Linked DNA regions of Macaca fascicularis. The protein of the gene in region 1 interacts with the protein of each later gene in a biochemical or structural test. Links are inferred from orthologs where the notes say so. Each region holds a gene or a part of one and is shown in the gene's direction. Other genes may lie near its edges. The genes, in order: YWHAZ, BAD, CDC25B and PRKCZ.

Evidence for each region.
Region 2: the proteins of YWHAZ (region 1) and BAD form a complex in vitro, tested with the Homo sapiens proteins (3 studies listed by BioGRID). The link is inferred for Macaca fascicularis from reciprocal best matches to the Homo sapiens genes YWHAZ and BAD.
Region 3: the proteins of YWHAZ (region 1) and CDC25B form a complex in vitro, tested with the Homo sapiens proteins (2 studies listed by BioGRID and IntAct). The link is inferred for Macaca fascicularis from reciprocal best matches to the Homo sapiens genes YWHAZ and CDC25B.
Region 4: the proteins of YWHAZ (region 1) and PRKCZ form a complex in vitro, tested with the Homo sapiens proteins (2 studies listed by BioGRID, with this or other methods). The link is inferred for Macaca fascicularis from reciprocal best matches to the Homo sapiens genes YWHAZ and PRKCZ.

Annotation. Positions count from the first base shown.
Region 1 is NC_088382.1:110,572,900-110,580,326, reverse strand, and holds part of YWHAZ (14-3-3 protein zeta/delta), read left to right. Parts: intron 1-446; exon of another isoform or gene 447-2,100; intron 2,101-3,603; 5' UTR 3,604-3,614; coding exon 3,615-3,908; intron 3,909-7,427.
Region 2 is NC_088388.1:10,106,128-10,114,032, forward strand, and holds the start of BAD (bcl2-associated agonist of cell death), read left to right. Parts: upstream 1-3,881; 5' UTR 3,882-4,240; exon of another isoform or gene 4,241-4,503; intron 4,504-4,608; exon of another isoform or gene 4,609-4,714; intron 4,715-4,938; 5' UTR 4,939-4,946; coding exon 4,947-5,133; intron 5,134-7,905. Other genes in the region: integral membrane protein GPR137, read right to left, coding at 1-172, 591-709, 844-972, 1,098-1,247, 1,367-1,592, 2,299-2,348, 2,432-2,788. UniProt on the Homo sapiens protein: Promotes cell death. Successfully competes for the binding to Bcl-X(L), Bcl-2 and Bcl-W, thereby affecting the level of heterodimerization of these proteins with BAX. Can reverse the death repressor activity of Bcl-X(L), but not that of Bcl-2.
Region 3 is NC_088384.1:83,490,647-83,498,600, reverse strand, and holds the start of CDC25B (M-phase inducer phosphatase 2), read left to right. Parts: upstream 1-2,548; 5' UTR 2,549-2,667; coding exon 2,668-2,692; exon of another isoform or gene 2,693-2,925; coding exon of another isoform or gene 2,926-2,935; intron 2,936-3,122; exon of another isoform or gene 3,123-3,343; coding exon 3,344-3,545; intron 3,546-4,410; coding exon 4,411-4,538; intron 4,539-5,195; coding exon 5,196-5,247; intron 5,248-7,070; coding exon 7,071-7,112; intron 7,113-7,248; coding exon 7,249-7,285; intron 7,286-7,528; coding exon 7,529-7,879; intron 7,880-7,954. UniProt on the Homo sapiens protein: Tyrosine protein phosphatase which functions as a dosage-dependent inducer of mitotic progression. Directly dephosphorylates CDK1 and stimulates its kinase activity.
Region 4 is NC_088375.1:232,631,235-232,638,661, reverse strand, and holds part of PRKCZ (protein kinase C zeta type), read left to right. Parts: intron 1-2,107; coding exon 2,108-2,160; intron 2,161-3,706; coding exon 3,707-3,895; intron 3,896-7,427. UniProt on the Homo sapiens protein: Calcium- and diacylglycerol-independent serine/threonine-protein kinase that functions in phosphatidylinositol 3-kinase (PI3K) pathway and mitogen-activated protein (MAP) kinase cascade, and is involved in NF-kappa-B activation, mitogenic signaling, cell proliferation, cell polarity, inflammatory response and maintenance of long-term potentiation (LTP).

The DNA of each region.
Region 1 (7,427 bases):
CGCAGACGGCCTGAGCGAAAGCTAAGGTGGGGGTAGGGAGAGAGCGCCTTCCCACAGGCTGAGAGGAAGAGTGGACCGGCGGAGGCCACAGGGGAGAGGGAGAGAGAGGGCGTCGGGGACCCAAGGGGAAGGCGAGGAGTGGGGGGGTTTGCGGGAAAAGAAAAAAAAAGCTTCCTGCCTAGGTGCACTCGGGACAAGCGTAGAGGAGCTGGGAGCCGAGCGGGGTGGGAGAAGTGGCGGCTGCGGGCGAGGACGCACGCGCCTCCGCTCGCCCTCCAGCGCGGGCGGGCAAGACGCGCGCCGGGGAGCGGCGGTTGCGCGGGGCCCAGATCGCTGTGGGCACCAATCAACGGTTGCCATAGCAGCGTTTGACGTCATCGTGCGTGTGGTGCCCCTGCTGCCGGGGCTGGTGATTGGAGGAAACCCCGTGTCTGCGGAGCGGCTGTAGCCTGTGAGCAGCGAGATCCAGGGACAGAGTCTCAGCCTCGCCGCTGCTGCTGCCGCCGCCGCCCAGAGACTGCTGAGCCCCTGTCTGTCCGCCGCCACCACCCACTCCGGACACAGGTGAGGAACCTGGCCGCCGCCGCGCCCCGCTCCTTCCTGTCCCAGGCCAGCCTTCCGAACGCGTGGGAGCCGTCCTCGCTCCGTCCTCTCATCCCCACTAGCCCCGCGGTGGCGGCGCCGGGCTGAGGCGGAGTCTCCTCAGCGGACACGGGCGGCGGCTCCTCTTCCGCTGAGTTCGGGCGGGCGGCTAGCGGCCGCCTCCGACTCCTTGCTTCCGCATCGACGCCCCGGCGCCGATCGGTGCTCGCTCCCCCGTCCTGCTCCCGGGGGTGGGGAGGGCGCCCACACGCGAGATCCCTGGGGATCCCCCTGTCGCCGGCTCCCAAAGGTGGACGAGGCATGGCCGGGGCGCCGCCGGCCGCGATCCGTCCCCACCCTTGTCTCTGCGGGCTCCCACCCCCTCCCTCGTCGCCCTTCTCGCTTCCGCCCGAGATAATGACTCGGCGGCGGCGGCGGGCATCGCAGTGGCGCAGGTGAGGCCGCCCCCTCTTCTCTCCCTCGGCCGCCCCCTCCTTCCCCTCCCCCGCCCCCCTCCCCCTCGCGCAGCCTCTGCGCTGGGCGCTGCGGCGGCGGGACCCGGCCCTCCCCCACCCCGGGAGGCGGCGGCGCGGCGGGGAGGGGCCGGGGGCCTCGGGGATCCAGGAGCGAGGGAAAGGCCTGGCCGAGAGCGGGCCGGAGCCCAGGCCTGGCACGGCGGCGCCCGCCAGGTAGACCGGGGCGAGGCCGCGCGCCGGCGCGAGGGGGAGCACACTGCGGGGTGAGGTTTTGGGGTGGGGCTCTCCTGCGACCTAGAGCTGAATTTCGTGGGCTCCGCGGTGGGAGGAAGGACTTGAAATTTCCTGGTGGGGGTGGGGGATGGGTCTGACTTTTTTTGCTCCTTTCGAACGGGCGGAGGAGGTGCGGACGGGGGCTGCGAGTCCAGGTGGGGGTAGAGAGCGGGGTGGGGAGCCCGCCGTCGGCTTCCGTGCGTGATGGACTAGAACTGGAGGTTCCCTGCGCTCGGTTTGGGGACGCATATCCTGCTTTGGGGGCGGGTGACCCTGAGCATAGCCGCTGGTGGCCCGCTCTGCTGGGTGTGGCTCTCGTCCCCTCCCCCACCTGCAGCTGTCGGTCCCTTAGAGACGCTGTACACGGGCATCGGCGCTGATCGGTGGCGGGGAAGGCGCTGGGTGGGAGAGCGGGGTGTGTCCGTGGCGGGGCTGGTAGTGGTTCCGCTTCTGCGGGCGGCTGTGGCGTCTCTGCCCCGGGGTCGGGCGGCTTCGCTCCCCCCCACCCGCCGCGCCACGGCTTGGGCGGGGGCGCGGGCTGCTCCTCCCTCTGGCTTCGGTCGGAGGAGGGGGGAATTAACACTCTGCAGTAGGTTGGGCTCCCTGACACAGATCCGCCATGACAAAGGAGAGTCGGGGACTTGAGCGGAGGCTCCGACTTGGGCGGAGCCTGGAGGGGGGTGGTTGCGGATAAGTGGACCGGAGGATTTTCACTTTAAAGTCCGGGTCTGCCGGTTTTCGTTTCGCCGTAGTCGACGTCTCAAGTCAGGTAAGGGTTAAATGGGTGCGGTGAGTCCTGCCCGCAGTGTAGAGGCGAGGCCTTGGAGCACTCATTACTGTGTGAGAAACCTTATCCACTTCCTCTTGTACCGAAGTGATTGGGTAGAGAATCCTTTGTACTGGTTTAAATCATTTTTCATTAGAAGCAGAATTAACCAGAGACTGTTTCTGAGATCCTAAGGGAAAAATTAGTAATTTAGACACCTGAGGAAAATAATGCCGTCATAAAGGTTAAATAGTTTACGTATTGAGCCAGTACCTTGTATCCAAAGTGGCTAAGTAATTTGTTTAAAATGTGGGGACCTGTTCTCATTTAGTTAAAAAAATACTGTGAGATTTCCCTGGGAAGGCAAAAGATGATTAATATTCGAGAGTCAGCTTCCAAGGTGAACTCTTCCGTTCACCTAATTTAAAAGTGCACTTCATTCAGGGTGTATATTTTTCTCTAAAGTCGTTTTTTTTTTTGGTGTGGTATCGCTGTGTGGATTAGTATCTTTGTGCTGTTTGCCAACTTGCCAAAGGATATCTTTCCAGAAAAATGTAGCTGAGGTAAATAGAAAAGGTCTAGGAAACTAAAACGCGAGGGAAAGAGAATTAGGTGGATAGTCATGGTGAAGAACAGCTTGAGTGATAACATCCAATTACAGTATGACAGCTAGACGCAAAATGCAGCACTTCTACATTTCAACTGGAGCAATGACATTGGAAACACTTGTAAATCAAGTACTTCCAACGTGATATATTCTAGTACTCACAGTAAGAGTTGAAGTGCCATGACTTGTGGATATTTTTAAAGCATGTGGACATATAACAAGATAAGGAGTTGAGGCATTAGGGTCAGATATTGATCCTTTGTGGTGGATTTATACTCAAAATATCTGAAAACAAACAGTTTGGTCATTCCTCCCCCCAAATTGTTATGCTATTATTGGCTGGCAAATGTTGCAGAGATCTAGTAGGTTTGGGGTGGGGGTAACACTAAAACTAAAATTTAATCACTCCTGACGAAAGTATTATGAAAGTAAAAAGACATGAGTTAAACTGACAAGAATTATGATTCTGGAAATATGATAGAAATCCAGATGTTCTCTGTAAACAATGCTTTTACTATGGAAGAAAAGCTGCTTAATTTCAGATCACTTAGTGGTATTGGAAATGAGTTGAGATTTTGGTCAAGTAAGATTGGGGTAAGTTTTTGAGGCAGCTTTTGAAAGTAATTTTGACATGTGAAATCTGTATCTAATGGACAAATTTTAGTTTTGCTACACTGATGTGTTAATGGCTGAAAGTTTACCTCTGATGCTGAGTATGCTGAATTTTTTTTCCTTTTCTGACTATCCTTTTGTGAAGCTGCATTTTAATTCTTCATGTGAACAGTCTTCCACAGGCAGTTAGATTTCAGGTTTAAAAAACTCATTTACCACAGGTATAATTTTGAGTCTGTTTATTTTGATGGGAAAAATTTTAAATACTCCTTTTTTCCCCCCTGCAGAACATCCAGTCATGGATAAAAATGAGCTGGTTCAGAAGGCCAAACTGGCCGAGCAGGCTGAGCGATATGATGACATGGCAGCCTGCATGAAGTCTGTAACTGAGCAAGGAGCTGAATTATCCAATGAGGAGAGGAATCTTCTCTCAGTTGCTTATAAAAATGTTGTAGGAGCCCGTAGGTCATCTTGGAGGGTCGTCTCAAGTATTGAACAAAAGACGGAAGGTGCTGAGAAAAAACAGCAGATGGCTCGAGAATACAGAGAGAAAATTGAGACGGAGCTAAGAGATATCTGCAATGATGTACTGGTGAGAATCAATTGAATCTGGCTTCATTATACTGTAAGGTTCCTATGAGTATCAGTTACATTACTCTCAACGTTTTCTTCGGTTTATCTTTTCCTTCTAAACATTGTGTGTTCAGATTTAAAAGTCTTCATGGTGTCATAACTAAAAAGATGTTAAGACAATTATAGATATGTGTATGTAAAGTAATTGTAATAATGATGATGAAACAGTTCAGTTTTAAAAATAACACACTTTAGTATTATTGAAAAGATAAACTAATAGTATTACTGCTTTACTTATGGTTAGAACATTTGTGGTAGCTCTATAGCTGGTTATCTTAAATGTACATCTATGGATAAAGGAATTTTACATATTTTATGTAAGAGAGATGTAATAGGATACTGATTGTAGAAATAGTACTCTTCTCAGGATTAGCCGCTATAATGTTAATGTAATGAGTCAGCCATGCAGAAAACTCTGGCGTCACGACTATGAAACCTCTTTCCTGCATTGAATTCTTGAAAATAAATTTTGAACACTCGCAACCATGATGAAAGGTTATGAATAACTCAAGCTTGATTTTTCCAGTTTGAATCGAGTATTTTAAGTATTCAGTACCTACTGTGTTGAAGCACTGCGCTTAAAATGATTAAACTACATTTTGGTTAATTTTAATCTGTCATACAAAGTAGGGCTTTTTGATCAAGAATAGTTTAAATTTGAGGATAAACTAGTAGAAAATCCAAGCTGGCAGTTTTTCGAATAATATTTAAAGTGATTTTGCTAAATGGTTACACTTAATCAGTATGGCAGGACTCTGATATACAAAGAGGGGCAGCAGCATCGCGATTTTTCTGGACAGGTTACTGAATGTGGGACTCAGTATGGAAATCCAGGTGTGTTACTTACTATATGAACCTTATTTATATGGAAGAAGTACTGTAATGAGCAATAGGATAATGTCTGATGTGGTTGTGGGTTTGGGGTTTTTGTTACAGTTGTGATGATGCTATCATTTCTTTACACTTGTATTTACTAATGGAATAGCATCAGTTCCTAAACTGTATTTTTCTCAAATGATACTTGACACTGTCTTTTAAAATAATAGTGATTTTTTAAAACATGCTTATTTGGGTTCACAATCACAAACTCAATGAGACATCTGTCTTGGGGCTTTTTTTTTGTTGTTCTTATTGAAACCTTTACAATGATAGCTGTTATTTGTATCTAAGTTGAAAAAAGGAATATCTTGCTTTTATTGAGGCCAAGTGACAAATACCTATCTTGTGATTTTGCTAAGGTAGTAAGAATATTTAAATTTTGAAAATGTGATTTTTTTCCTATAATAAAAAATGTATTGGGTTTTTTTTTTTTTTTTTCCTTGCTCTCCTTACTAATATCTGTGTAAGTGTAACTCAGTTTTGTTCAGTCTGGTGTTACACTTGATCAAAAAGTTTTTATTTGGGCTTCAAAGGATATGTTACAAGTTAACATTTCCCTTAAGACAAAAGTCAACTTTAGGAATAAAAAGGAATGTGACATTTACCTTTTAATAACACGCTTATTTGCAATACCAGGTAGGTATGTGCATGTTTTCCATATACAAAGTATAAAAGTTCCTGTCATTGTGAGTCTTCTCCTGGGAAAAGACTTGTAGCAGGTTTGTTTTTTTGTGTTTCTTTTGAGACTGAGTTTTGCTCTTGTTGCCCAGGCTTGAGTGCAATGGCATGATCTTAGCTCACTGCAACCTCAGCCTCCCGTGTTCAAGCAATTCTTCTGCCTTGACCTCCCTAGTAGTTGGAATTACAGGGCGTGCGCCACCACGCCCAGCTAATTTTTGTATTTTTAGTAGAGATAGGGTTTCACCTTGTTGGCCAGGCTGGTAACCAGGTCAGGTCTAACTCCCAACCTCAGGTGATCCACTCACCTCAGCCTCCCAAAGTGCTGGGATTACAGGGGTGAGCCACCATGTCTGGCCCAACTTGTAGCAGTTTTGACTATGCTTCCCTTTGGTTTCCTTATCAAGAAAAATTTTTTGCATAGAACCAGTAGATGAGGATGACAAGATAATCTCTTAATATTAATAGCTTCTTGTTGTTATGATTATTAAGGAGTTTGATTCTGGTCCCTACTCACATCGTTACCCTCTAGAATAGCACTGGCTTCTTAAAAAGTCTATGGTATTTATACTTTGAAAGTTTGGATGAATGAGAGTTTTCTTTACTATACAAGTGGGTTCGAAGAGAATTCTAAACAAGCTTTGGCTTCCAGCCTTAGTCTTTTTAAGAGTAAGACTTAGTGATCTTTGCATACTCAGAACGTGTAGTAGATGCTCAAATATTTGTTAAACAAGCAGAAAGGCTTCTTTTGAGAAAGGATAGAATTAGGTCAGCAGCACTGCAAAATTTCCCTGGCTTTTTCTTTTTCTGCTTGGGAAAATTTGATATTTACAGATAATAGGCTTCTTTTTCCTACCATCTATTTCAAATAGGTCACATCGACTCTGGAAACATTGCATAAAATTCCTTTTCCCCTTTTTAGTGAAATGGAAGAATAAAGTGTAGCAGAACTGGTATTTCTACTAGAGAAAGTTTTTGAATCATTGTTACTTAATGATTATTAAAAATATTTTAAATTATATATTTGAGATCTTACATGATAAAAAAATCAATTATAATTTTTTATTACTCCAGCCTTTTCTGGGCTTTGAGATATATATATGTATATACACATATACATATATATATACACACACTTTAATTTGAGAAAAATAAGCAGGTAATCCCTTTGCAGAATTAATGGTATTGGCTGGTGGCATTAGTGATAACCAGATTTTTTATATTGAGCACCTATTTTATAATAGCTATGAAAATATACTCTTCCTACAAAAAGCAGCTAATCTCCAACGTTCTGAGTTTTTCTGAAGAACTTTTTAGTAACCCATTTTGGTTACATGTATTTATCAATTGTTTAACCATTTAATAAGCAAAGAGCTTGGACCATGTTGCTTATTACAAGAGTTAATAGAGCATTACCGTGGAAAGTGGTCACTGGCACGTTCTTCACAAGGTGGACTTTTCATTATGTAAAAGAACTTCGAGTTCTTCTCTTCCATGTGTTAATTTGAAACTGCAATATGTGAACTAATGCAATCTGCCTTTCCTGCCAGATGCTTAGACAGAAACTCTCTTGGTAGTTGGGGAGGGACTCAACACTAGCACCTCTTTAAACCTGAAAGATGGCAGCCAAAAATTGGGTAGTTTTTATCTTGCACTTGATGAAATGAATACCAAGGAAACACAGTCTAGGAAGACTATTTCAAACTCAAAGAAGTATGTCGAGGTGAATAATGGAGCTCAAGATACTGAATCAAACTAGTTTTACCATTTAATAGATGCATGGCCTGAGGAAATCACTCAGTCCCTCTGAGAAAACTAAGCTCAATTAAATAGGAATAATTCTCATCCCCCAGGGTTGTGGGGAATGAGAGGTAAAGCACCTTGACTACCTTTTGTGTCCTGTTTATCTTAGCTTTTCAGT
Region 2 (7,905 bases), on another chromosome or scaffold:
GCCAGAGGAGGGGGCAGCCACGACCCCCAGGATCCTGGGCAAGAAGTGGCAAACTTGGCACAGGGGCTTAGGGTGACGGGGACTGGGGCCTGGGTATTCTGTGGGGGAGGGAAGGGGATCACGTCTGTGGGGTGGAGTAGAGACTGTGGTGGTGGCCACCTGGTCCTGGCACCTGGGAGAAGAGCAGAGGAGTGGTCTTCGTCTGGCTGCCCCCATACCAGCCCGGCTCACGCCCGATGGCGCCATACCAGCTCCCAGAGCCTAGACTGCCTGACATACTGCAGCAGAGAAACAGGGTCAGTCTCAGGACAGTGACCAGGGCCACAGTCACAAGAGCTGCAGGAGGAACAGAGGCTTAGAACAGAACCCCTGTGACCTAGACCTTCGGGGCCCAGGGCAAAGTACATCTCTAGGCAAGGGATGGAGGCTTTAGCCATAGGAACCCAGGGGACCTCACCTAGTACAGATGGGGAAGCAAAGGCCATGGCAGGGGTGGAAGGGCAAGACCCGGCTCTCTCAGTCCCCCATAGCTCGATGGAGCCAAGTGGGTGGTGGGGGCAGGGGTACTGAGGCAGTGCCATGGCTCCTACCTGGTGCTCTCACCCCGGCTGTGCTCCCAGGAGCAGCCCTCATCTTCACAGTGCCCAGCCCGGTCAAAGAAGTAGGACCGGGAGGCAAAGACCTGCCCATTGAGGATGTGGCTGGTGCTCTGGAGAAGGAAGCCATCATCGATACTTACTCCTGTCCCACACTGTTCTCCCTGCCCATCCCCAGATGCCAACCCAGGATTCCCAGCATCTGCCCCTCTCCACTGGGCCCACAGGGGAGGGTGCAGACCCTTACCAGGTCCTGTGGGGGCCGGTGTACCCGGAAGAAGCCCACCAGCAGGGTGGTGGGCAGCAGCTCCCACACGAAGAGGATGAGGCCAAATACCAGGTAGCCTTTGTTCCCCAGGTCATTTACCAGGTCCGCCTGTGGGAAGGCAGGGGCTGGTGCCAGTCTGCAGTCACGCCAAGGGGGCAGTGGGACAGGGCCCAGGCCAGCTGGGGCCAAGGTGCCACGGCTACTAAGGAGGTGGCAGACATGCGTATGCCCACCTGATCAGACACATTGTACCAGTCGTAATCGAAGGTGTCCAGTCGGCTCTGGGGGGCCAAGGCCAGTGCTGTCAGGTTGTAGCAGGCCCGGCTGGCATAGAGCAGGACCATGGCTCCACCCATCGCGGCCGCCTGGCACACACTGGTCCCCTGGCACAGGTAACAACAGAGGACCCTCAGGGAGAGAAGGCTCCCAGCTTCCTCTACACCCTGAGAACCGCTGCCCAGAGATCCCAAAGGACACCTGGGCATCAGTGCTGCGGCCCTACCTTGGCCTCCAGGTAGATGCTAGTGGAGGGGGCCCGCCTGGCGACGAGGCAGAGGCAGGCAGCAAGAGACAGCGCACAGATGACGAACAGGGAGTCGCTCACCAGGACGCGGACAAGCAGCAGGGCCCAGGGCTGTGCCCGGCGCCGATGGGAGAGCACAGCACACAGCACGTTCACCAGCAGAAAGAGCAGCGAGGCCCCCACAAAGGCCCCTCGGACAGCCAGCCTGCAGCCACAGCACAGTCAGCCCGGGCCCTCAACAGCCCTCAGCACTCACCACCTGCCCCACCTCCTGCAGGAAACCCCAGTGTCCACAGAACTCAGGGCATCCAGTCTGAGCCCTGTTCCTCCATTCTTATAGATGGAGAAACTGAGGCTCAAAGAGGTCAGAAGGTGACTGACAGCCATGGTACCTCGGAAGGGGCACCAACTGGAGTCAGAAGTCTCCGTCTGAGCCCCAGCTCTGCGACCTTGATCCTGATGCCTTACCTGGCTGGGCCTCAGTTTCTTCATCTCTCAAGGGAGGAGAGTAGCCTCTCAGGGAAATTGTACAAATGAAAGATGGCTGGGAAAGCTCTTTATAAACCGTAAGACACTGTACAAATGACGAGGGCATTGCGGCCCCAGGTCACCCAGGAGTGCATATGGCTTTGGTGCTTCCATGGACTGGAGCCTCCAGCTCACCCTCCATGGTGGATGCCACTGGGTTCCTCTCCCTCACACTACCACAACCATTCCTATTCTTGTGCCTTGCAGATCTGCAACGCCTCTGCTGAGCCATCTGCGCCAGGTGCTTTAACTTTTCCAAGCTCTTCCACAGACATTCCCTGGGTTGTCTTTGTCTCAGCCCTGAGAGGTGGGAAGGGATCTACATGGGACTGTCCCCTGCCCCTGACCTGGAGGTTGAGCCCACCAGTGTCCCGAGTACTTACAAGCCTCGGCTCATCTCCGGCCGACGCTTCGCCTTGGCCTTGAACACCACCTAGGAGCAGAGATGCCCTTCACTCCCGTGGGTCCTTAAGGCTTGCCACCTCCCACCCCCCACCCGGGACCACAGTTGGTTACCTGGGCAAAGTAGAGGTTCATAAGCGTCAAGGTGAAGAACTGCAGGCAGACGGGGCAGCAGTAGAGAAGCCAGAAGGGCAAGGGCCCCAGGCGGTTGGCGCGGGGAGTATCTCGGAAGTAGAAGGAGAAGAGAGTGGTACGCAAGGCAGCCCAGAGCAGACAGAGGGCCAGGAACACCGTCTGATAGCTGAGACGCTTGTGCCCATACAGAAGCACCAGCCAGAGCTGGGCATAGACGGAGAAGAAGAGCAGGGCATACAGGGTGGTGTAGGCAGCCGTCAGCCCCAGGGTCACAGCAGGTGGCAGCGCAGGCACCAGCCCGGCAGCAGGCACCAGGCCAGACAGGTTACTCTCCATGTCAGGGAGGGAGGCCTGAATCCCGGAGACAGAGAAGGAGGGGCTGTCGGCAGGGCCAGGGTAATAAATACGGAGGGGTGGGAATTGCAGGGTGCAGAGAGGGAGATGGGGCGCTGAGGAGGAAAGAAGTTGTGGCTGACAGGCCCCTCCTCCTCAACAGAGAGACCCTTGCCCTTGGGGAACACGGGCAGCCTGGGCCCCAGGCCCCTCACTCAGGGGCATGGAAGGGCAGTCTCTTCTCTCCAGGGCAGACCGGGTGGGGGTTGGGGGTGTCTCCTCCCTGGGCCTACCCCAGAGTCAGGGATGGGGGGATGCAGAGGCCCAAGGAGCGGAGTCCCTGGCCTCGGTCGCTCGTGTCGTCCTGGCTGGAGGGGGAGAGCCAGCCGATGCCCGTCGGGTCAGGGCAGCGGCCGCTGCAGGGGGCGCCCAATGCCCCGCTCTCCCCCTCCCCAAGCTGGGGGAGGCTCTCCTCCAGTAATGCGGATGGGGAGGGCCTCTGCCTTCTGTCCTTGTAATTCTCGAAAGCTGCCCCCCGCCCAACCCCCCCCCACCGCGTCCACTCTCCAGCCTCAAGGGGCGGGAGGAGGCGGATGCCAGGTCCTCAGGCCGCTGATGGGAGAGCCGGCTCAGGTCGTGGGGACCCGGGGCTCCGGCTCCCCGGCTCCCGCTGCTCCGCCCCCTCCTGCGCCTGCGCGGGCGCTGTTCGCTACGCAAATTGCGCAGGGGCCCGACCGGCTCCGCAGTCCAGCGCCGCACCCGGCGTGAAACCGTACGAGAATTGGCGCGAGCTGCGCCGCTGGCGGGCGCCCGGGGTTACGGGAGGCGGCTGGAGGGCGGCCGAATTGCGGGGGCCGTGCCGCATCCAGGGGGTCCCCGGGTGGGCTGTGCCTGGGCGGTCCGCCTTAACTTGTATGGGGGGCCGCCAATTCCCACGCTCCTCTCTCCTATACCCAAATCGGGGTCGTGCCACCCAGCCGGGGGCGGCAACGGATTCCCGTCCCTCGGCCTCTGAAGAAAACTTCCGCCCATAGCCAAGATGGCCCCCGGGCCCCGCCCCCGGGCCTGAACCCGCGGAGCCCCGAATCCCCAGCGCGGGCCCGCCCCCCGCCCCGGCGCGCCCGCGGCCCTGCTCACCTGGCCGGCCGCCTGCCAGGCCTGAAGCCCCCACGGATCCTACGGTCCACCCTCACCGGGTCCCCGGCCCTCCTCCCGCGCCCGGGCAGCCATCCCAGCCAGGGAGGAGGTTCCTCTCCTTATCTCCAGTGCCCCCGAGGTGGCGCGGGAGGTGTCCCCCGAGGCGGGCGGCGCGAAGCTTCCACGCCTGGGAGGAGGAGCGGGGAGCGGGACTTTCCGACCGGGCACCCAGTCCAGGCGGAGCGGTAACAATAGCAACAATAATCGCATCCGACGGCTGAGCTTCAGTTGTGGCTGTGCCAAGCGCCTTCGCCCGCAGTAATCACTCCCTTCACAAAGTTTTCACTGGCTCCTGGGGGAGCTGTCACTATCCCCACTTCACTGGGGGGAAACTAAGGTCCAGAGGGGCTGAAGGACTTGTTGGCAGAAGTGGGTCTCCAGGTTCCAAATGGGGACCCCAGAGAATCCCTCTCCTGCTCCCACACACGTCCAAGGTGTGAGGCAGCGAGGATATGAGCACCAGGGCTGCAGGAGGGAGAAAAAAGGCTGCGGGCGAGTAGCCGTAGGTCCGGCGGGGAGGCGGGGCCGGGCCGGGTTGACCCCGCCTCTGGACCTACCCGAGTGACGTTCCGAGAGGTGATTGGGCCAGGTCGCTGACAGTTCCCGTTGCCCAAGCAACTAGGGCCGGGAGCCCGGGGTGCAGGAGGGAGGCGGCAGGCCCGGGTCAGGGGCCTCGAGATCGGGCTTGGGGTGAGACCTGTGCGCCGTCACCACGGGCGGGGCGGGGCCTGGGTAGGGGCCTGGGTCCACCAGGGTTCTAAGGGGAGATTGAGGCCCTGAGCCGACAGCATCAGCTCCCTGCCAGGCCAGACCCAGCAGACAAATGAGGGCCCGGGAGGCCTGGCGGGCCTGGGGGCCCTAGGGTGGGAGAGGGAGCCAAGGGTACCTGCCTCTGCCTTCCAGGGCCACCGTTGGCCCCAGCTGTGCCTTGACTACCTAACATCTTGTCCTCATAGCCCAGAGCATGTTCCAGATCCCAGAGTTTGAGCCTAGTGAGCAGGAAGACTCCAGCTCTGCAGAGAGGGGCCTGGGCCCCAGCCCCGCGGGGAACAGGCCCTCAGACTCCGGCAAGCATCATCGCCAGGCCCCAGGCCTCCTGTGGGACGCCAGTCACCAGCAGGAGCAGCCAACCAGCAGCAGCCATCATGGAGGTAAGTACCCCACCACCTCCACCTGCCGGGTCACCTCACCCCCAGCCCACTGGCTCCCTGCATCCCAGTTGTATCCACGGGCACTGAAGGCTTTGGGTCGGTCCCTAACCTCTCAGAGCCCCAGTTTCCTCTTTTGTAAAACAGAGCAATTAATAACCACCATTGTAGGACTGTTGAGTTAATTAGCAGGAACATATAGGATGCACTTGATTACAGAGCTGGTGCACATTAAAGCTAAAAAATGGTAGCTGCCAGGCATGACGGATCACACCTGTAATCCCAGCACTTTGGGAGGCCAACGCAGGAGGATCGCTTGAGCCCAGAAGTTCAAAGCCAGCCTGGGTGACTTAGGGAGACTCCATCTCTTAAAATATGTATATATATATATGGCAGCTCTCAGTGTGGGGCCAGGACAGAAATTAGTGACAGGCAGGCAGGCAGTGATCCGAAAAGGAAAAGGGGCCTACCTAAGGCCATACCTGCCTGGCATTTCTTTCCTTAGAAGGTGGGGGCTGGAAGACTCCTTGGTGCCCTGCCCCAGGCTACATGCTTTCCCTGGGATTGGGCCTTCCAGCTCCCAGATGTGTTCTTTCTTGCCCCGAGGCTTGCGCCCACAGCAGGCCTGTCCTGGCACAAAGGCCAGGGGCAGGTGACCTCAAGGGGCAGACGGTCCTCCCAGACAGCAGGGCTGTGTGGGGTGGGAAGCACAGGCTCCAAGATGGAAGGATAGACACTGGGGTTCAGTGTCCATTTCTCAGTAGGCTCCACCACCCCTGTGCCCAGCACTGGCCTTGGCACCTGGAACAACAACATATATCTTCTGAACACAAAAACCAGGTCAAGCCAGGTGGGGTGGCCCATGTCTGTAGTCCCAGCAGCTCAGGAGGCTGGCTTGAGCCCAGGAATTCAAGACCAACCTGGGCAACATAGCCAGACCCCATCTCTAAAAATAGAAAACTAGGTCATGTCACTCTGGCACTGAAGCTTAAACGACCTCCTTCCCATTTTCAGGATTAAGAAGGCTTAAGAGGCCTCCTTCCCCTCCCTCTCTTACGCACAAACACACACACTCAGTTCTCTCAGATTGGATCCCATAGCTTGCTTTCTTTTTTTGTTGTTGTTGTTTTGTTTGTTTTGAGACAGGGTCTCGCTCTATCACCTAGGAGGGAGTACAGAGGTGTGGAGTACAGAGGTGTGACCTCAGCTCACTGCAGCCTAGAACTTCTGGGCTTAAGCGATCCTCCCACCTTACCCTCCCAAGTAACTGGGAATACAGGTGTGTGGACTACACCTAGTTAATTTATTTTTAACTTTTTCTTTTTTTTTTTTTTTTCTGAGACAGAGTCTCACTCTGCCACCCAGGCTGGAGTGCAGTGGTGCAATCTCAGCTCACTGCAACCTCCGCCTCCTGGGTTCCAGCAATTCTCCTGCCTCAGTCTTTCAGGTAGCTGGGACTACAGGCATGTGTCACCATGCCCGGCTAATTTTTTGTATTTTTAGTAGACATAGGGTTTCACCATGTTAGCCAGGGTGGTCTCTATCTCCTGACCTTGTGATCCGCCCGCCTCGGCCTCCCAAGGTGTTGGAATTACAGGCGTGAGCCACCACGCCCGACATTTTTCATGTTTTCATTAGAGACGAGGGCAGGGGCGGGTCTCCTTTTGTTGCCCAGGCAGGTCTCAAACTCCTGGGCTCAAACAATCCTCCTGCCTCAGCCTCCAGAACAGCTGGGACCACAGGTACATGCTGCCACACCAGCTCATTTTTTATTTTTTGTAGAGGTGGGGTCTTGCTTTGTTGCCCAGCCTGGTCTCGAATTCCTGGGCCCAAGAGATCCTCTCATCTTGGCCTCCCAGAGTGTTGGGATTACTGGCGTGAGCCACCATGCTCGGCCTCCACAGCTTTCTTTAACTTTCTGAGCTTGCACTTGGCTGTTTTTCTGCTCACAAACTCCCCCTGCTTTCTGCCCCCCGCCACACACACTCAGCATTGACTTGTGTCTCAGAGTGAGTGTTCACCATGTGACACAGGTTGTTCCAGTTGCTAGGGGGACCTCGGTGAACCCAAGCATCAGGAATCCTTGCCCTCGTGGAGCTTACATTCTAGTGACGTGGTGGGTCCATAAGCAAACAAGCACAAAAGTGCATCCTATCATGGATGAGAAGATTTGTATGGGGGCAGCATGTAAGAGTTAAGAGAAGCTGGGCGCGGAGGCTTACACCTGTAATTTCAACACTTTGGGAGGCTGAGGCGAGCGGATCACAAGGTCAAGACATGGAGACCAGCCTGGCCAACATGGTGAAACCCCATCTCTACTAAAAATACAAAAATTAGCCAAGCATGGTGGCATGCACCTATAGTCCCAGCTACTCAGGAGGCTGAGGCAGGAGAATCACTTGAACCCGGGAGGCGGAGGTTGCAGTGAGCCAAGATCACACCACTGCACTCCAGCCTGGCAACAGAGTGAGACTCCGTCTCAAAAAAAAAAAAAAAAAAAGAGTTAAGAGAATCCAGAGTCACGGGGCTGGGGGAGTGATGGTAGCAGAGGTGGTCAACACTCACTTGGTGAGAAGCACCACTGGAACCAAGGCCACAGGGATGATGGGAAGAGAGTTCCAGGCAGAGGGAAGGGCAGGTGCTAAGGCCCTGAGGGCAACACCTGCTCCCAGCTAGGGTGGGCCTAGAGGAGGGGGTTAGGAAAGGGTCTTTGGAGACCTAAAGGTGGAGGTCATTGTAAGGACTCTGACTTTGCCTTTGGGTGAAAACCTGGAA
Region 3 (7,954 bases), on another chromosome or scaffold:
TTTTTATGTTTAGAGTCAAAGTCTCACTCAGTTGCCCAGGATGGAGTGCAGTGGTGGAATTATAGCTCACTGCAGACTCAAACTCCTGGGTTCAAGCTAACCTCCAGAGTCACTTGGATTGTTTGTTTGTTTGTTTGTTTGTTTGTTTTTGAGACGGAGTCTTGCTCTTTTCACCCAGGCTGGAGTGCAATGGCGCGATCTTGGCTCACTGCAACCCCTACCCCCCAGGTTCAAGCAATTATCCTGCCTCAGCCTCCTGAGGAGCTGGGATTATGGGTGCCTGCCACCAGGCCCAGCTAATGTTTGTGTTTTTAGTAGAGATGGGTTTTCACCATGTCGGCCAGGCTGGTCTCGAGCTCCTGACCTTGTGATCCACCTGCCTCGGCCTCCCCAAGTGCTGGGATTACAGGTGTGAGCCACTGCGCCAGGTGAGTTGCTTGGATTATAGGCAGGGGCCACCACACCCGGCTAAGTTTTTTAAAAATGTTTTGTAAAGACAGGGTTTCACCATATTGCTCAGGCTGGTCTTGAATTACTAGCCTCAGGCAATTCCCCTGCATCAGGCTCTGGAGTTGCTGGGATTACAGGTGTGAGCCACAGTTCCAGCACTATTGAGCCCTTTAAATGTTGCAAGTACAAACTGAGATGTGCTGGGGGTGTAAAATGCATATTAGAGTTTGAAGACTTGGTATCCGAAAAAGTATGTAAAATATCTCAATAATTATATATTGATAACATGTCAAATAATATTTTGAATACATTACATTGAATAAAATATTACAGTAATTTCATGTTTCTTTTTTATTGTTTTAAATGTGGCTACTAGCATATTTTAAATTATGTATGTGGGCCAGGCACAGTGGCTCGCCTGTAATCCCAGCACTTTGGGAGGCCGAGATGGGTGGATCACCTGAGGTCAGGAGTTCAAGACCAGACTGGCCAACATGGCAAAACCCTGTCTCTACTGAAAATAAAAAATTGGCCGGGAATGGTGGCGGGCACCTGTAATTCCAGCTACTCGGGAGGCTGAGGCAGGAAAATCGCTTGAACCCAGGAGGCGGAGGTTGCAGTGAGCCGAGATCATGCCACTGCCCTTAAGCCTAGGTGACACGGTGAGACTCCATCTCAAACAAACAAACAAACAAAAAAACCCAGAACCCCTCTATGGTCTTGCCCACCTCCCCACTCACCGGCCCAGAGGTGACCTGACTGGGATTTCAAGGGATTCAACAGTATAATGCCCACCCTGCATTGTTGCCCTGTATGTTGGCTGGGTGAGGGGTAGGGGGGATACCTGCTGTGTTTATTTTGAAAACGCAAATCTTGGGGGTTTTATTTCTGGTTTTGGGGCTGGGTAGCCTCACAAGGGCACTTCCCCCTTCCCTCCTGGCACTAAGGGCAGTCACATCCTCACTGGAAGTAGTGGCTGGAGGTCCAGGGCATGACCCCTGACCCAGGGAGGATGAACCGGAAATTCAGTCTTGCAGAGCCCTCTGCACAGCACAGGAACTGGGCAAAATGTGGAGAAAAGGAAAGGTCATGGTTCCCACGTTGGCCACCCCTCTCAGGTGGGGCTGGGGTCTTCCCCTCCCCTTCACGTGCATTGGCCCACCAAGCCCCCCATCACCAGGCCGTCCCTTTTGCCACCCCCAAAAATTTGGGTCCGGGTGGCTGGGACTTCACTAGAAGGGGCGCTCCTGCCTTGCTGAACTGCAGCCCGCCCCCCAACTGCCCGCCCAGCCAGAGGCCACTTCTAACCTGGAGATACCGTATGCTATATGAAAGCTGCTTACTACCCACTGGCTTTTCAGTGCAGCCTTCAGCCCTCTTGTTCCAGGAGGCCTGGAAAACGGGCGGGGCTGGAAGGCATTTAGATAATTGGAAGATGGGCCTGGCGCTGTGGCTCATGCCTGCAATCCCAGCACTTTGGGAGGCCTAGGCAGGTGGATCACGACGTCAGGAGTTCGAGACCAGCCTGACCAATATGGTGAAACCCCGTCTTTACTAAAAATACAAAATCAGGTGTGGTGGCGTGCGCCTGTAGTCCCAGCTATTCGGGAGGCTGAGGCAGAAGAATCGCTTGAACCCGGGAGGCGGAGCTTGCAGTGAGCAGAGATCACCGAGTCACTCCAGCCGGGTTGACAGAGCGAGACTCCATCTCAAAAAAAAAAAAAAAAAAAAAAAAAAGGAAAAAGAAAAAGATAATTGGAAGATGCTTGGCTTAAATGAATGACAAATTCAGCCTCTCTGGTCTGGTCATCAAAGAAACACCAATTAAATAATATGGTGCCATTGCCACCAAGTTAGCTAAGTCATCAATGGGCGTGATACTTAATTAACTTCTCTGGTTGCTGACACCCTCCTCGACCCCCAGCCGCGGAAATCCATGCCTAGTTCCACCATTCAGAGCCTCTACTGGGGCTGCCGCGAAAATTGGACTGGTTGGGGTAACATCTAACCTGGGGTCCCCCGAAAGCGCCCGTCAATTCCGCTTGGGGGCCCCACTGCCCTCCCACCTCCTAAGCTGGGCGCTCCGCCTGCGAATGACGTTTTGCTGCTGCTCAGCGCAGCCACTTGCGGGGGCGGGGAGGCTGCGGGGTCAGAGGCGCCTGGAGGGAGCGAATCCTGGCCCACCGCCTGCCCAACCGCGTGACCTTGAACGAATTAATGAACTTCACGCCTCAACGTCCAGGTCTGTAAAATGGGGTATCTAACGCAGACCGCACAGCCCAGCTGTGTTTAGCAAACTTCCGGGAGCCGGTTGGAGCCTCTCCCCGTCCCTAGCGGTGATACCAGGTGACGATATGCCGCGGGGGGTCCAGCGGAGGCCACCCTAGGGCGTTGCTGCTGCCTTTGGGAGTATGGAGCTCCAAACCATGTCGCGACAGGAGGATTTCGGGAGGCCTGGATCCTCGCGCCAGGGGGATGTGCGAGGGTATGGGATGATTCCTAATTCCTCCGGCCCACCCAAAGCCTAGATATCCAGCCTCCGCGCCTCTCGCCCTGAGGGCCCCGCCCTCAATCCCGCCCTCCTCTAACCCGCTACCCCATTGGTGGCGTCCGGCGGCGCGGCCGCTGTTATTTTTCGAATATATAAGGAGGTGGAAGTGGCAGCTGCAACTAGAGGCTTCCCAGGCTGGTGCCTGAGCCCTGCGTCCCTCGCCCCCGCCCTCCCCGCATCCCTCTCCTCCCTCGCGCCTAGCCCTGTGGCTCTTCCTCCCTCCCTCCCTTCCCCCCCTCACCCCCTCCGCGCCCGCTGCCTCCCTCGGCCCAGCCAGCTGTGCCGGCGTTTGTTGGCTGCCTTGCGCCCGGCCCTCCAGCCAGCTTTCTGCCGGCCCCGCAGCGATGGAGGTGCCCCAGCCGGAGCCCGCGCCAGGCTCGGCTCTCAGTCCAGCATGCGTGCGCGGTGGCGCCCAGCGTCCCGGCCACCTCCCGGGCCTCCTGCTGGGATCTCATGGCCTCCTGGTGTCTCCTGTGCGCGCGACCGCTTCCTCGCCGGTCACCACCCTCACCCAGACCATGCATGACCTCGCCGGGCTCGGCAGGTAGGACACCCCAAGGAGGCTGGATATGGGGGTGAGAGGCCCGGTCTGGAGTCCTGGGCCTCCTGGAGAACCGGGCATGGTATTCGAATCCAGGAGGTGGAGTCCGGGGGAGGCATCCTGGGCAGTGGAGAGGTACAGGACATGGGAGGTGAGACCTGGGCTGTGTCCCCCACACAGGTGACCTCCAGGTGACCTGCTCTCAGTCTACACAAGCCTCTCCAAGTCTTTCCCCTCACTCCCTCCTCCCTCATTGTGCCTCCACCACGCTGCCTCCCTAATCTCTGCCCAGATAGCCACCATTTTGCTCCAGGATGGGATTCCCAAGCCTGGAGAGGGAACTTGAGGGTGGCAGAGCCGTAGGGCACTCACACATCCATACCCCCGCTCCCTCCACCCCAATTCTGCCCCCAGAATTAAGGCAATTAATTAAACACTGATCCTGCTCCCTAAGTGCAAGGGGAGAGCTGGGTTGTTCCAGTAGGAGAACCTGGTCTTGGTCCATCCTTCAGGAAGAATCCTGGAAAGGTGGGGGTCTGACAGTTTAGGGGAAGGCTCTCCGGGGCGTCTCGGCTAGACCACCAACCCCTAGGCTGGTCTCCATCCAGGCCACCTTGCTCACACCCTGGGCTCACCTTCCCCTGCACCTGGGAGGACCTTTCCTAAACCAGTCAACAAAGAGAAGCCCCTTTAGGACCTCTGTAGAATGAACCTGCCTTGAGCTGAGAAGAGGGCCGGCCCTCAGGGCCATTGCTTTCCCGCTGTAGCATTTCGCTCAGTTCTTTTCTCAGTGAGGGAGTGGGAACGTGGGCTAGCGAGGCTTTGAACCCCACCTTTCTCCTTTCCCGGGTCCCTGCTCCTTTCCCAGCGAAACCCCAAAGAGTCAGGTAGGGACCCTGCTCTTCCGCAGCCACAGCCGCCTGACGCGCCTATCCCTGTCTCGACGGGCATCTGAATCCTCCCTGTCGTCAGATTCCTCCGAATCTTCTGATGCAGGTGAGGCCCAGGGGAGCCTGGGGAGATCTGCCAGTGCCAGGAGAGTTTGTGGGGGCTGCCTGGGCCTCTCGATTTCCCTGCGGATCAAACTAACATCCTCCCCACAACCTGGTGGGCCCAGGAGCCTTTCCCCCACCCTCCACAGAGATGGGAGGAAGACACACCTCATGTGGGGCTCACCACACCCAATGTGGACTGGCTGAGTGGATGAGAGGGTGGGGCCCTCTACGCTAGATGAGATCTTACCTGTGTAAAACCACACACCAAAGTTCCTAAACCACAGCCCTACCTGGGAAGCACCCAGGGCTGAGTTGGTCTTGAGAACATTCTTAGTCTATAAACTCTTCTTTAAAAATCTGTTGTCTCTTCTAGAACAAATTGTTTGAAATCAGTTCAAGAAAAATGCTTAGCGAGCATTGTGGTTTAAAGACACATATAAAGAAATTTCCATAGTAAACAGGGAGTGGCATCCTGTACCATTTGGGAGACGATGTGTCAGCTCTCAGGGTCCATGATTGGGTTTTGTTTCATTTTCTAATGTGCCAAAGTCCAAACTAGAAACTTTTCTTTTTCTTTTTTTTTTCTTATTGGGACATGGTTGGGGAAAGTATACAGAAAGTGCCACTACTTTCAAACCAAGGTGCTCTGTCCCCTCAGGTCTCTGCATGGATTCCCCCAGCCCTGTGGACCCCCAGATGGCGGAGCAGACGTGAGTAGAGAAGGGAATGTCTACTACCAAGCAATCAGCACCTGCCTTTAAGAATCCTGGTTCTAGCATAAACTCACTGAGGAGGCCTGGGGAAACAGGCAGACCATGAGGTGGCTTCAGGATCCCCATGGCCGGGGGGCTCACTAACCTTCTCAGGCCTTGGGATTCTGCTCCCTGTCTCAGAGAAGGATCTGCTCTCATGGGAGCCAACCAAGAGTGGGCTCAGGGCCAGGGGTGGTGGGGACAGTGGCCATTGGGAGAGCAGATACTAGGCTACAGCCCATGTCTTGCAGGAATACAAGCCCAGCGTATGTCCCGTTTTTCTTTCTTGCCTATACCCTTTTTTTTTCTGTGAAATATTACAATTAAAAAAATATGATCCAGTTAATTCAGAACTTTAACTCACTCTAGGCCAAACAAAACACAGTTGCCTGCAGATTGATTTGGCTCTTGGCCAATGAGCAACCTTTGACTTCGATGACACTTGACCCTCTGGCCAGCCCTGGCCTAGGCTCTTTGTGCAAGGGAATGGAGAGAGAGTTGGTGGGCTCTGGCCTGGACAGACACCTTCCCCTTGGCTGTGGGCATGGGTGGTGTCTTGCAGAGCACAGCTGTTCCTGTCCAGTTGTTAAAGCCCAAGCAGCTGGGCAGCTGCCAGCCATTAGTAGGGACAGCTGGGCATCCCTAGCCTGTGCTGGGGACTGTGGTTTTGGGTTTAGGGTAGTGACTTGTCTTACCTCCCATTGCCTTTGATCAGACTACGCTGGGCTGCAGATTGGTTCACAAACAGGAAATGGGGAGAGGATTGGGTGGGGTCGGGGGACTGCAGGTTGGTTTTGGTGGCAGCACAGAGCAGTCTTGCCCTACCCCCAAGGCCCATGTGCAAGCCAATGAAATTGGTCATCCCTGATGCTGGGTCGGCTAGGCACAGCAGCCCCCCCAGGGGGGGATCCCCCTCATACTTTATCCCTGAGTGGTTCCCTGCCTCACACCTGCTTTGACAGTTATACAGTTTCTCAGAAAGAAGCTCTGTGTGTGTGTGTAGATGCACAAAAGCTCTGCGTGGCAGGTGGTCTCCTGTAACACGGCTGGGGGGTGGGGCCTCAGAGGGAACATGTGTTGGAATCCCTTGCCTGCTGGCCTCTTCTAAGGCAGAAGGAGGGGGTGGGACAGAGGCTGGTCCTGGAAAATTCCATAAGAGGGAGGAGAGGATGTGGCCCTGCACGTTTGTCACTAGGGGGTCTGCTGTATCAGACTGGAGCTGATTGGGGGACCCCTAAAGCAGGCCCCAGTCCTGGGAGGACCGGGAGCCAGGCCAGCTCCTCACAGGGGAGAGGAAGCCTCGCCTTGTTGTCCAGGCCCTGGAGACACCCACATTGCTGGGTGCCCCTGGCCTATCACCATAGGATGGATGGATGCCTTTCCTGGCAGCCATATGGCCCCGCTGAGGTGATTTGCATACAGGTGGAAGGCCTGGTGCAGGCTGGCGAGACTGTTGCCTTGGTGACGCCTCCCTGACCCTGTGACCTGCCCCAGCTGTCTCTATCACTGCCATTCTCTGGGCTTTCTTTCATTCAGGGCAGCCTTTAAAATTCTAGGCTGCCTCTTATCTCCCCCCTCCCCAATACCTGGGCCCCCTGATGGTTGGGCGTTCCTCCTACCCAACCCCTTCCACTGGCTTGAGCCCTGGCCCTTGTCTTTGCCCTTATTCCCCCCTGGACTGGAGACCTGGTGCTGGGAACTGGGGGACTGGGGGCCTGGTGCTGGGGTGGGTGATGGGTGCGAAGGGAGGATAGGTTGCATGGGACCCTTCTCTGTCCTAGGTTTGAACAGGCCATCCAGGCAGCCAGCCGGGTCATTCGAAAGTAAGTGTTCCCGGACCTCTTCCATCTACCACGGGCTTTCCCCTAGGATGTATAGGGCTCCGGAAGGGCATGCTACATGCTCTTGGTCCCTGCCCTGCCTCTCCCAGCTCTCACCTGTCCCCATTTCCTCCTGTAGAGAGCAGTTTGCCATCAGACGCTTCCAGTCTATGCCGGTGAGTGTCTTTGAGGCCTGACTGAGGCTTAGACATGCTGGCCAGGCATGGGGTAGATAAGCAGGAGGCATCCAGGGATCACCTCCCAGCTGGGTGTCCCAGGCAGGCTGTGGGAGATGGGGTTTCAGAGGTAGATAGGTAAGTGGGAGGAGCTGGAGGAGAGGTGGAGAAGGTAGGGCCTGGGCTGGTGCCGGAGTAATGCAGCCTTCATTCCTCTGCCTGCCGCCCTGCCTGGCTCTCTAGGTGAGGCTGCTGGGTCAAAGCCCTGTGCTTCGGAACATCACCAACTCTCAGGCGCCCGACGGCCAGAGGAAGAGCGAGGCGGGCGGTGGAGCTGCCAGCAGCTCTGGGGAAGACAAAGAGAACGTGCGCTTCTGGAAGACCTGGATGGGAGCTCTCCGGGGAGAGGAGGGGGCATGCTGGGGTGGTTTCCTGGCACGTGAGGACCCTCCTCTCCCATCTTGGCTGCAGGATGGGTTTGTCTTCAAGATGCCATGGAAGCCCACACATCCCAGCTCCACCCATGCTCTGGCAGAGTGGGCCAGCCGCAGGGAAGCCTTTGCCCAGAGGCCCAGCTCGGCCCCCGACCTGATGGTACATCCAGAGAGCTGACCCCTGGCAGGGGCCTGGGGAGGCAGCCTGAGGGAAGAGGAGGGTGGCCCTGAGCCC
Region 4 (7,427 bases), on another chromosome or scaffold:
TTGTCCACTGACCTCTCCGTCTATCCATCCATCTATTGTCCACTGACCTCTGCATCCATCTATTTTCCACTGATCTCTCCATCTATCGATCCATCTGTTGTCCACTGACCTCTCCATCTACCCATCCATCTATTGTCCACTGACCTCTCCATCTATCCATCTATCGTCCACTGACCTCTCCATCTATCCGTCCATCTGTTGTCCACTGACGTCTCCATCTTTCCATCTATTGTCCACTGACCTCTCCATCCATCTCTCTCTTGTCCACTGACCTCTCCGTCTATCCATCCATCTATTGTCCACTGACCTCTCCATCTACCCATTTATTGTCCACTGAAGTCTCCATCTTTCCATCTGTCTGTTGTCCACTGATCTCTGTGTCTATCGATCCATCTATTGTCCACTGACCTCTCCATCTATCCATCCATCTATTTTCCACTGATCTCTCCATCTATCGATCCATCTGTTGTCCACTGACCTCTCCATCTACCCATCCATCTATTGTCCACTGACCTCTCCATCTATCCATCTATCGTCCACTGACCTCTCCATCTATCCGTCCATCTGTTGTCCACTGACGTCTCCATCTTTCCATCTATTGTCCACTGACCTCTCCATCCATCTCTCTCTTGTCCACTGACCTCTCCATCTATCCATCCATCTATTGTCCTCTGACCTCTCCATCTACCCATCTATTGTCCACTGACGTCTCCGTCTTTCCATCTGTCGGTTGTCCACTGATCTCTGTGTCTATCGATCCATCTATTGTCCACTGACCTCTCCATCTATCCATCCATCTGTTGTCCACTGACCTCTCCATCTGTCCATCTATCTATTGTCCACTGATCTCTCCATCTATCCATCTATTGTCCACTGACCTGTCCATCTATCCATCCATCTATTGTCCACTGATGTCTCCATCTTTCCATCTGTTGTCCACTGATCTCTCCATCCATCCATTATCCACTGACCTCTCCATCTATCCATCCATCTATTGTCCACTGACCTCTCCATCTACCCATCCATTGTCCACTGACGTCTCCATCTTTCCATCTATTGTCCACTGACCTCTCCATCCATCTGTTGTCCACTGACCTCTCCATCTATCCATCCATCTATTGTCCACTGACCTCTCCATCTACCCATCCATCTATTGTCCACTGACATCTCCATCTTTCCATCTATCTATTTCCACTGACCTCTCCATTTACCCATCCATCTATTGTTCACTGACGTCTCTGTCTTTCCATCTATTGTCCACTGACCTCTCCATCCATCATCTATCTGTTGTCCACTGATCTCTCCGTCTATCCATCCATCTATTGTCCACTGACCTCTCCATCTATTGTCCACTGATCTCTCCATCTACCCATGCATCTATCGTCCACTGACGTCTCCATCTTTCCATCTATTGTCCACTGACCTCTGCATCCATCTATCTGTTGTCCACCGATCTCTCCATCAGTCCATCTATTGTCCACTGACCACTCCATCTATCCATCTATTGTCCACTGACCTCTCCATCTATCCATTTTCCGCTGACCTCTCCATCTATTGTCCACTGACCTCTCCATCTATCCATCTATTTTCCACTGACCTCTCCATCTATTCATCCATCTATTGTCCACTGACCTCTCCATCTATCCATCTCTTGTCCACTGACCTCTCCATCTATCCATCTCTTGTCCACTGACCTCTCCATTTATCCATCCATCTGTTGTCCACTGACCTCTCCATCTGTCCGTCTTCCATCCAGGCCTCCATTCATCCCCCATCTAGTCATCCTCCATCCCTTCACTAGACATCCCCTCCTGCCCCACCCACCCATTCACTAGACACCAAAATCTGATGACTAATTATTTGCAGATGGACCCCTGGGGGCGTGTGTCACAAATGTACATCCCCAGGTCCCATGGTCAGAGTCGGCAGGTCTGAGTGGGGCCCAGGAAGCTGCATTTTCAAAAGACTCTAAAATAGAATCAGACATGGCTGCTGTGTAGAGTTGCCCTTCACCGTCGCCTGGTGGAGGAGCAGGGCCCACGGGGTCGCTGTGTTCCCAGCGCGTTCCTGACGACACCGTAACGCCTCTTCCTCCCTCTCTCGCCAGTTGCTTACATTTCCTCATCCCGGAAACATGACAGCATTAAAGACGACTCTGAGGTGAGTCTGCGGAGCAGCTCGCTACCTTTCCAGCGTCCTCTTGGAAGTCTGTGAGCCTGCCTCTGGGGCAGTCACATAAATCTGGATGTGAAATATACGGTCCGGGATGTTGCTAATCTTTACGGGTGTGGGTGTCTAGAAAGAAGCCCTTGTTCTTGGGTCTTATTTCAGGCACATCCTTGGTGATTCCCTGGAGGCAGCTGTCCCAGCGGGTGGTCTGGGGACCACACCCTGGGGGGAAGCCGCGCCCCACATCCTCTCCACCCAGGCAGTACAGTGGCCCAGGGGCTGGCTTTTGAGCTGTAATTTTTATCAAGTTGTGTCTGCACCACGGCCTTCCTTTCGTTGCCTCGTTTGGCCGTCCTGGCAAACCCCTCTAATGCCTTTTCACGTCCTTCCCCAACTCAAGCGAAGAGGCTCAACTGAGCCTCGCGTCTGTGGCCAGCTCTGCACCACAAACCCTGAGAAGGGAACAGAAGAGCTTGCTGTGTTCTCAGCCTCTGCTCGTAAAACCCAAGAAAGGGCTGCGCTGGCAAAGCCCACACCTTTCCAGAGCAGCGGCACATACCACCCTCACAACTCGTGCTCCTTCCTGGCCGTCCTGTGTCTGGAGGGAGGCTGGGTCACTTAGAAAGCAGAATCCAAAGCCGGGCACGGTGGCTCACACCTCCAATCCCAGCATTTTGGGAGGCTGGGCCGGGCAGATCACTTGAGTCCAGAAGCTTGAGAACAGCCTGGGCAGCGTAGTGAAACCCTATTCCTGCAAAAATAAATACAAAATAATTAGCTGGGCATGGTGGCATGGGCCTGTGGTCCCAGCTGCTTGGGAGGCTGAGGTGGGAGGATCGCCTGAGCTTGGGAGGTGGAGGCTGCAGTGAGCCGAGATTGCGCCACTGCACTCCAGCCTGGGTGGCAGAGGAAGACCCTGTCTCAAAAAAAGCAGAATCCATTCTGCTGCACAGAACAGCACCTCCTAGCGAACTACCTCCTCCACCCCGACATCCTTGCCTGGTGTAGCTTGCAGGAGGCCGAGGCTTCTCTTTTTCCTCGGAGCGCCTTTCTTCTGTATATTTCTAATAATTATTTCTAATAATGTGTGCTTGCCGGTTTGGGAGCTCTTGGCAGGCATTAGCTACGTTTGCTTTACCTTCCTTCCCCGAGGGAGGGCCCTGATGGGGAAGGATGGGCCCAGGCCCTGGGCCGCATGTCCCAGTGGCCACCTCTTCAGCCCGACTGGTAGGGCTGAAGGCCTGGGGGTCCCTCCCACTGGCAGCTGTGACCAGAGCCATGGTCTGTGGAAACGAGCAGCTTCCGACTTTCTAGCACCTTCCTCAGAAGCACAGCCTGAAGTTCTCACCTTTTGTGCCCCGGTTTAGATGGGAGTGTGGGGGTGGGATCTGTGGGACGCAGAGCTGAGACTGGGATCGTGAGGCTCTAGGCTCTGAGGAGCAGATCTCTGTTGGGACCGCATGAGTGATGCGTGGTCCTCTGAATCTCCCGGGACCCCTCTCCCCTCACTTTCTGGGGTCTTGTTCTCCCTTCCTAGGACCTTAAGCCAGTTATCGATGGGATGGATGGAATCAAAATCTCTCAGGGGCTCGGGCTGCAGGACTTCGACCTAATCAGAGTCATAGGGCGCGGGAGCTACGCCAAGGTTCTCCTGGTGCGGTTGAAGAAGAATGACCAAATTTACGCCATGAAAGTGGTGAAGAAAGAGCTGGTGCATGACGACGAGGTAGGTGCCACTTCTCACGGCGCTCGGGGTCCCGGGAACGCACCGCCCTGGGGCCGCCACCTGGGGAAGAGGGCATTAGAAGGCCATAATGAATGCTCCAGGCTTTAGCAAAATTAATCCAGGCATGAGAGTCCTGGCCTCGTATTGATGGAGTTTGCGCAAAATCAATAGTGATGCGTCGCGTAACAACCGGGACGTGTTCTGGAAAGTGCCTGGTCAGGTGATGGCACCGTTGTGTGAATGTCACAACGCGTGCTCCACAAACCCAAACGGCGCAGCCAACTCCGCGGCCAGGATGCACAGTGCAGCTCCTGCTCTCAGGCTGCCGGCCCGCACGGCTGTCCGTGCACTGCACACCGCAGGCAGTGAGCGGACCACCGCAGAGAGCACTCGTGTCTAAGCTTTGAAAAGGTGAAGATGGGTATCGTCTCCGCGACCTTCGCGTGTGTGGCCAACCACTGATACGTCGCCTTCCAGCAGACTGCGGTTGAGCTTGAGGACGTCGTCACCCTTGTTAGGAAATCCCTGGGGTTGAGCTGAACCGGGCGGGTGATGGGGTAGGACAGGAAGCTGCCCAGAGGCACTGCCTCACTCCGTCCTGCACAAGGCCCCAGCTTTGAGGGACGTGCTGAACTGCCGCGGCTCTGTGTAGCAGATCTTCCCACACCAGCTGTTTCTGGGGGAGAAGTTTATTGATTATAGGATCAATGGTTTATTTGTTGAAATCTTTTTTTTTTTGGAAATAGGTTCTTAAACAGGGTCTTACTCTGTCACCCAGGCTGGAGTGACTTGATCACAGCCCATGTAGCCTCAAACTCCCCAGCTCAGGTGATCCTCCCACTTCAGCCTCCAGAGTGTTGGGACTACAGGCATGAGCCACCACCCCCAGCTGTATAATTTTGTATTTTCTGTAGAGGCAGTGTCTCACTCTGTCACCCAGGCTGGAGTGCAGAGCATGATCACAGCTCACCTCCTGCAGCCTCCACCTCCTCCTGCAGCCTCCACCTCTTGCTGGGCTGAGGTGATCTTCCCACTTCAGCCTCCAGAGGAGCCAGGGCTACAGGCGTGCACCACCATGCCCGGCTATTTTTTGTGTTTTTTGTAGAGACGGGGTTCAACTATGTTGCCCAGGCTGGTTTCGAATTCCTGCACTCATGCACTCTGCCCCACTCAGCCTGCTGGAGTGCTGGGATTACAGGCATGAGTCACTGCTCTTGGCCTATTTGTTGAAATCTTGATTCTGACTTCATACACCTTTTTGTTTTAATTATAGTAAAATACACATGGCATAGAATTTGACATTTTAAAATGTACAGTTAGGGCCAGGCATGGTGGCTCACACCTATAATCCCAGCACTTTGGGAGGCCAAGACGGGTGGATTACCTGAGGTCAGGAGTTCAAGACCAGCCTGACCAATATATGGTGAAAACCCAACTATACTAAAAATACAAAAATTAGCCAGGTGTGGTGGCGCACACCTCTAATCCCAGCTACCCAACTATACTAAAAATACAAAAATTAGCCAGGTGTGGTGGCACACACCTCTAATCCCAGCTACCCAACTATACTAAAAATACAAAAATTAGCCAGGTGTGGTGGCGCACACCTCTAATCCCAGCTACCCAACTATACTAAAAATACAAAAATTAGCCAGGTGTGGTGGCGCACACCTCTAATCCCAGCTACCCAACTATACTAAAAATACAAAAATTAGCCAGGTGTGGTGGCGCACACCTCTAATCCCAGCTACCCAACTATACTAAAAATACAAAAATTAGCCAGGTGTGGTGGCGCACACCTCTAATCCCAGCTACCCAACTATACTAAAAATACAAAAATTAGCCAGGTGTGGTGGCGCACACCTCTAATCCCAGCTACCCAACTATACTAAAAATACAAAAATTAGCCAGGTGTGGTGGCGCACACCTCTAATCCCAGCTACCCAACTATACTAAAAATACAAAAATTAGCCAGGTGTGGTGGCGCACACCTCTAATCCCAGCTACCCAACTATACTAAAAATACAAAAATTAGCCAGGTGTGGTGGCGCACACCTCTAATCCCAGCTACCCAACTATACTAAAAATACAAAAATTAGCCAGGTGTGGTGGCGCACACCTCTAATCCCAGCTACCCAACTATACTAAAAATACAAAAATTAGCCAGGTGTGGTGGCGCACACCTCTAATCCCAGCTACTCAACTATACTAAAAATACAAAAATTAGCCAGGTGTGGTGGCGCACACCTCTAATCCCAGCTACTCAGAGGCTGAGACGGGAGAATCACTTGAACCTGGGAGGCGGAGATTGCAGTGAGCCGAGATCACACTACTGCACTCCAGCATGGGTGACCGAATGAGACTCTGTCTTAAAAAAGGAATAAAATATACAAATAAAGTGTACAGTTAGGCAGCTTTTAGCACATTGAGGTACAGAGTTGGGCAGCTATCACCTCTCTGATTCCAGAACATTTTCCTCACCCCAAAAGGAGACCCCATACTCACCCCCTGCTTCCCCTCTACATTGGCCCCAGTGGCCTCCAATGTGCCTTCTGCCTCTGCGGACCTCCCTCTTCTGCACATTTGACAGAATGGAGCTGTGTGTGAGCTTTTAGTGTCTGGCTTCTCCGGGGTCCATCCGTGTGGCTGCTTGCTCAGGCCTTCCTCTCTCTGCCTGGCTGGGTAATGTTGTTCCGTTGTCCGGTGGAGGCCCCACGTTTGCGCGTGCACCTGCCAAGGGGCATTTGCAGTGTTCCCACCCTTGGCTCTTGTGAGTGGTGCCATGGTGAAGGTTTGTGTGCAAGAATCTGTTTGAGTCTATTTCCAGTTCTTTTGAGTGCAAACCTAGCAGTGGCGTTACTGGGTCACGTGGTAGTTCTCTGTTCAGGTGATGGGGACCTACCAGGCTGTTTCCCTCGCAGCCACCGTTTCACCTCCCCGCCAGCAGCGCACGGGCCTGTTTCTGCAGGTTTTCAGCCATGCACGTTATTTGGATGACCTCCGTCCTAATGAGTGTGCAGCTGTGGCTTTGACTGACATTTCTTTAATGACTGGCGATGTTCAGCATCTTTCGTGCACTTGTCGGCTTCTGGTATTTTTGGCCTTCTGCTTTCATACCTGAATGCAGGTTGTGTCTCTCAGGAGCAGAAAAAAGGCCGATGTGTAGGTGGCAGTAATGCCGTTGTCACCAAGTGCTGCTAGCACAGAAGACAACTGGGTGCTCATCGAGCCCCGATGGGCCACAGAGGGGCTCCCTCCCCACCAGCCAGGCTCGGGGCTGGGAGGCAGAACTGGGGCTGGGACTGAGCCTCTACTGCCTCCCAGCAGGGTGTGTCTGTGCAGTACACAGGCTGTCCAACCGGCCCCTCGTCCCTGGGTGCAGAACTCACAATTGAGTGGCAGCATCCATGCCCTGTGCCGAGGAACGGAGGCCCTGAGAGGTGTGGTGCCCTGCTGACGGCCCCACTGCTGGCCCCCGGCCGCAGAAGAGGATTCCAACCCTCTTTGCAGCACACCCTGGCCAGCTGGCAGT